Linked DNA regions of Drosophila melanogaster. The protein of the gene in region 1 purifies or fractionates together with the protein of each later gene. This does not show direct contact. Each region holds a gene or a part of one and is shown in the gene's direction. Other genes may lie near its edges.

Region 1 (3,760 bases):
TTCATAGTAATAATCACATAAAAGTCCTCGAAGTGTCGTGCAGCCTGCGAACGAACAAAGAAATCTTCAATTAGGCCTCACATCTGCAGCGCGAAAGCCTCTAATTTATATCGGCCTGCGATAGCGAGGTGCCCGCTATCCGGATATAACTGGGGAACCCAGTATGTGAGTTCGCGGCTGGGATTTTGTCCCACATATGAAGTTGGCGTCGAACAGCTGCTCTGCATAACGGGTTTAGCAGGCTGGCCCATATCAGCTGATGACTTTCACCTTCGCCTTGCCACAAACACGGGCCCGCCCCCGTCAAGCCTACGCTCATAAGGGGCCTTCCCCTTTTCCGCCTCGACCGCCTTGGAAATCTGGGGAAGCGGACGGCAATCGGTCTAACAGCTGTTTATCGGGCGGGTGGGCGTCAATGTTTATGCACACACATGCGGAAGAGGCGCAGGTATACACACAAGCGCAGGGAATTGGACTTGGTATGCGGCCCCTTCTGCAATACTGGGTTCAAGGTGAATTGGCCACAGGACCCGCACTGTGGCCCCATGGCGGAAGCACCCGTGGGAAGAGCTGATTTTATTCATGGATAGCGGAGTTACCTTGGTTTAAACCGCGTCACAGATCGATTTTTGTCCACCTAGGCGCGAATTTCTTACGCTTCCGCTGACTGCTGGTCGCATCGATTCCGGTGCCACTGCTCTGGGAACTTTGGATCCCGTTGGGTATCTGGTAATTTTGAATGCACTACACACGCCGCAAAAGCGTTTGCATTTGCATTGGGTCCGAAAAAATTTGGTGCGCAACAGAACGAACGTCCCGTTCCTAACGAAAAACTAAAGTGTGTGCTCACAAATCCGTACATCTTGCTCAGCTAGATATTATCGATAGGCAGTGGATGGATTGTCAGCTGGCCGACGGCACCTATCGATAGCTATTCAAATCCAAATGGCGGCCATGTTGTTTGTTTGAAAGCCCAAAATAGGCTGTATTATTTTTGTTTATTTGTCCTGCAAATTATAAACAAGGGAGTCTCCGAGAAAAAGTGCAACTGCATCACTAGATTTTTTGAACATATCCGAATTGATTAAAACATTTCTGATTTATCACTTGCCTAGCTTTATTGTAAAATATTGAATAAACCTCCATAACATTAATACAGGTACCAAGATACCGAGACTTTCATTTTTGTGTGTGTTGCAGAAACGAACTCCAAATAATTCGCGAGGGTGGTTTGACGTTAACAAAGGTCATAGTTGATAACCAGTTGAAAAGGATTCATTATTAGTTGGATCAGGTTTTGATGCCAATCTTTAGAATTTGAGAATTCTTACATTAATCAATACAAATAAAGCTATTAAGGACAGAAAACCACTTGTAAATCCGGTCTCATCTTCCATGTTTTCGATGACCAACAGTTTTCGAGAAGGCTTATTTAACAGTAACTTTAAATCATTCTCTAGATCCTATTCAAAATTTGGTATATTTGTTGATTTTTACATAATAGTTGACTGCTGGAAGGAAACGTTTCCGTCCCTAGAATTTACATTTATTCTTATTGAGGATCATTAACCGATTCGATCTGTTCATGTCCTCCTATCTCTATAAACGCATAGATTTTTGGAACTATAAAACTTAAAGATTCAACAATGTCACGTTATGTCTCTTAGCAAAGGGAAGTTTAATCCTTTCTATTTTAGACTAAGCATAACGTTGACAAAATGTTAGCTCGAAACACATTGTTAAAAGTGTTTACCAAAGGGAAAATGGGGAATACAAAGTACTGTGAATTGTTGTAGCGCATAATGAAAGCGATTCTCCGAGTTTGTTTTTATAGGACTATTCGTAGTCACTTTCTTGTTTGCACCGAATGCATAAACAGAGAACTGCAATTCAAAAGGGAAACTCTTGCTCTTTGCCTGATTTCACCACACTGCTCACTCGATTGGCGCTCCTGTGCTCGACGCGAAAGCTTTTCGGGGGAGCGGAAAAGCTGCGCCAAAGCACGAAGTCCACGATCCCGATCCCTAAAGCTCGGGCAAGGCCTCTTGAATGGCACCGAGATTCCACCAAAATAATTTCAGTTGCGAGCGGACCTCTGCACGGAGTGGAACAAAATCTGAAGAGCAAAGAGTACAGTCCGCGGAAAACGTTCAATTAATAGAAGCAAGAAACCACATATATAATCTAATTATTCTCGTATATACCCCACATATATCTCGCCTGTGCATATACGAACCCCGTATATATGTATCAGTGAACAAAAAGTTGTTATACATAAAATAAATTGCGAAAGAAGAAACACCATTATCAACTAAAAATAGTGACCGATTCTCAAAGGAATACAAATTTTAATAACGAAAGACCCCAAACGACGAGAACGAATCAATTATACAATTATAACACTATAAACTGTAGAACACACCAAAACGAGCAGACACGCGCACGCATGTTCGCGTTAAGGGCCTAAAGCACATCAGAACCGTAACCGATCGCAGGATGACTTTCACCCGCCTCAAGACTCTCTCGCTGCTCGTGTGTGCTCTGCTGGCCCTGAGTTTTCCCGGACATGTGAGTGGTGCAGGCAACAACAACAACAAGAAGGGCTCGCAGCCAGTGGCGCCTCCGGAGCCGGAGGCCGTCATCGAGGAGGTCAATGCCAAGCAGCTGGAGAAGCTCCTGGCCGACAAGGATTACGTGGCCGTTTTCTGGTGTAAGTGGGAGGGTGGTTATGCCAGTGCTCTCGGGGTCGTCCGGGCACCGCTCATTTATCGTCAGACCGGACCGTACCGGACTCGAAATAGTAACAGAAGCCATATTATATAAATTTTCGCTAGTGAAAATTCTAAAAATTCACATACAAATGAAAATATGTGAAAAATTCGTTGCTCGAAATGTCCGCGATTTTCATTCGGTTAATTTTTTATTTTTTTTCTATTTCTTCATTTCCTCCCCGAGTTGCCAGTAGTCTGTGCTGCCTTCCCTTTTCTATATTTTTTTCATTTCTGCGCTATCTTTGCGATCTGTTTATGAGTAGAGAAATCTCTCTTGGCTGTGAGAAATCGTCTTTGCAGCTTTTTATATTTTCGGTTTTTTAGTCTATTTTGGCGCAAACTTTTGGCACAAAATATACCTACATACCTATGAAGCAGAATTTAATTTCCTTCCAGCAGTTGCCAACAGATTTCCTGCCCTTTTAAATTTATTTTCAATCCCCTTGTCCAGTGGGTCCCATTGGTGACCTGTTTTTGGGTAACCAAAAAAAAAAAAAAAAAAAAAATGGTTACCGTTCGCGTGAAAGAATGGCTTATTTATTAAATCTCTTTAATCAGTTTAAATATAGATTGGGCATTTGCGCGCTGTTCCCCAATGTCAAAGTTAATAAACACGAAAGTGATCTTCGGATTGTAATATTCTCCTTTATATGTATATGTACATATACCTCACGATGTGTTTCATTAGCATTGGCGGCAATTCCAAAAATAATTGTTGACAATGAAAATATTTTAAGTCCAAAAGCCTCAGGCCCAATGACGCTGGCCGACAATCGAAATAATCATGGAATATCTACGCAAATGGCAGAGCATTGAATAGTTTTGGCAATTAAATCGCAGATAGTTCAATATGTAAACGAATTCTATCGATAAGCTAAATGTGTTTATTATTTCAAGTGAACGCTATTTATGTTATTGCACTGCATGCGATAGCACTCTGATGATTTTAAATCAAACATCCTGCAGTGGATTTTCCAAAGCACCTGGTG
Region 2 (3,024 bases), on another chromosome or scaffold:
TTGTTGCACTTAAAGTCGCTAAAATGCGGTGCGTTCGCTTGTCAAAATTGCAGCAGCATTCAGCCTTTTTTATGTTAAGAAGCCACAAAGAGATGACGCAGTCGAAATGGTTAAATGAATTAACCCTTTTACTTTGCACAAACACACACACACACATGTGCTTGCAACAGGCAATACAGTGGCTACAACAACAATAGCAGACAGGGCTTTGTGATTTTTCTGGCCGTTCTTGTAGTTTTTTGCCCAACACACGGATTAAGCTACACCCTCGGAAAAATATTCGACACAAAATCACGCGATTTAAACTAAAAAATAAATAAATAACACAATTGCGCGGAAACTTGGGAATACACGGCGCTAAGGATATCGATTACTTATTACTTATTACTTTTTATCGATTCGCATCGTCGGAGCATTCGCAGGGTACTGCCAACTTATCTCAATTTCCTAAAGGTCATTGAACTCAAATATATATATAAAAAAACGAATGTAGCATTGCATTTATAGCCATTGATTAATATGAAAGGAAAGTATGTATAAAAGTGCAACCAGTATTTGAACTTGCATAAGTTAAAAATCAAAAGTTAGCTTAGGTCCTATGATTACACCAATCTATTTGACCAAAGTACATAATTAAATATTACATCCAAAATTCAATTGTTCCTGTACAAGTGTACTAACTTTTTGGCGTTTCATGAGCGGCTCGTGTGTACAAACATTTATTTAAATGCTTACCCCCACCCCGTAGCCACTTCAGATGAAGCTGGAGCTGGAGCCGAATCTGAAGCTTGGAGCTTGAAGTTTGGAGCACGGTGGAGAATTGCGCGTAAATTCGTTGCGGTCTGCGCGTCATCAACGTAATCGCCGTCAACAGCAGTCAACAGCATCAAACTGGCAGGCAAATGTTGCTACTGTTTCCAGACGCAGTCCGTCCGGCCAACAGAAGCAAACGAAGCAACAGAAGCACCAACCGCCGCAGTGAAGTGGTTTTTTATGATCAGACGAGATGAGCCGAGCCCAAAGCAGCACTTTCCATCCGAGAAAGAAACCGAGGCTACAACAAAAGCGTGTCTTTCGAGTTCGCTAATGGGAACTACATATATGTATGTACATACATATGTACATTCCGGGTACAAAGTGCATTTTGTGGAAACCCTTTGGGCAGAATGTAAACCATTAACAAATTGTAGCAGACCTATGGCCTATACATTTCTTATTTGTTTTAACTGTTTTGACTCTTATAAATGAACATATTTTCAAGAATCTGAATTAAATTGTAAATTAGTAGAATGAAGCTCTTTCGAAACTACCTCGCTTTGCTCCTTCCGTTTGATCATTTGACCATTTTTGACCATTTGCTTTAGGTTATGGCATTTTGTCCATTTCGTATTGGTCATTCGGTTTTGGCCATTAATTTCGTTATATCATTTCGTTTTTGTCTTGCTTTGGTTATTTCGTTTTGGTCTTTCATCTTAGTCAGTTCGTTTTGACCATTCGTTTGGGCCGCTTATGTAGTTTTAGCCAAATCTTTTTGACCAAATTGACTTGAGCTTAGTTCCTGGCTCTACATATTCTGTTATTTTTTTTTTTTTTTAATTTTTGAGCTGGAATTAAAGCGTTTCACTTCAAACATAGTACACCTGTCGCACAGACTTATTGTAGTTAGTTTTGTCAAGCGTTCGAAGCGACTGCAGAAATGAGGGTCTACTTGTATCAAATGCGCCCGGTGCTCTTTCTCTTCTACATGGTGGAGACGACGGCCAACTTATTCGTTTTGTACTACCAACTGAAAGCATTTGTTTTCGTCAATCTGACAACGATGAAATGGGAAGATGTTCTAATCCAAAGCTTTTATATGTCCTTCTTTTACATATTCACAGTGGTAACGCTCTTTGCCAGCATAAATCTCTGCACCGGTCATCGCACATCGATCGTTGAGGAAGTTGTGCGTCCTCTGATCGGATTTGTTCTATATACGGTAATATCGTTGATGGCACTGGGCGATGCCGAGACGGATTTCTATATATGGTATGATGGAAGGAACCCGGATGATTTACTATATCCGGAGAAGCCGCTCCATCCGTTCTTCGGTAGCCTGCGGGACCAGGCGACAGCCTCATTGGTGTCCAGTGTTATCTATCTGCTGCACTGCCTCATTGCGTTGGATGTCCTTCTGTCGAATGACGATTCGGATAACGAACGCGAGTCATCCAATTCCTCCGACGATGTGAACGAAGAGGTCGACTACGTTCCAGTGCGTCTGTACGTCTTTGGCGGCGTGATGCAACGCTGGCTGGAGCAGTTCGACTGGTTTCAGGACTTTACCCACAGTGGAGTCACAGATATCTGATATTTTATCATTAACTTCATTTATACAACTACAAATTACATGATAAACAAAACTTCGCATCGCTTTTCTCGGTGATTATGCAGCCTTTGGATTTTGGTTACATTCGGTGCAAGAAACCCTAATCATCAGCATTCCCATGACGTCAGTGGGAAGCAACAGTTCGGTCTCTGCATCATATAAAGCTCATTGTCGTCAATGTGCCAGTGATAAGCAGCTGGGGCCAAAACATCTACATAAGTACGCGTATCTATAGTATCTATGTATCTTGGTACGAGTATCTGTATCTGCTAGTGCGCAGGTCCAAAGTTAAAGCGAACAATCGATATATGTACTATGATGTTTGGGGCAAAGCGGCAGTCAAGAGCAAGGTGAAGCATTGCCCCGGTGCTCCTGGGTGTGGTGCTTTTTTCATTCATAAAAAAAAACTGGTCCACATGACATGTGGACACATTCAAGGCTATTTCTAGACCAGACCAAGGATGTCCTTATGCCTCTCATAAACTATGCAATATGATTAGAAAGTCTGAATGTTTAGAATTAGTTTTATAAACTCACAAACTTCGGTGGATCAAAAAGTTTGGCCAGGTGAAGCTAATACTATGGCCTACTTTTCGGGGTTATTTTAATAATATGATTATTGCTGCCATGCTTTTGTATAAACAAATCAATTTCAC

What was found.
Region 2: the proteins of hlk (region 1) and CG14315 purify together in Drosophila melanogaster (affinity purification with mass spectrometry, with the first as the bait; one large-scale study listed by BioGRID). This does not show direct contact.

What each region holds. Positions count from the first base shown.
Region 1 is NT_033778.4:6,738,989-6,742,748, reverse strand, and holds the start of hlk (hulk), read left to right. Parts: upstream 1-2,076; 5' UTR 2,077-2,496; coding exon 2,497-2,710; intron 2,711-3,760. Other genes in the region: phtf, read right to left, coding at 1-5.
Region 2 is NT_033777.3:18,157,074-18,160,097, forward strand, and holds CG14315 (uncharacterized protein), read left to right. Parts: upstream 1-1,627; 5' UTR 1,628-1,696; coding exon 1,697-2,350; 3' UTR 2,351-2,398; downstream 2,399-3,024.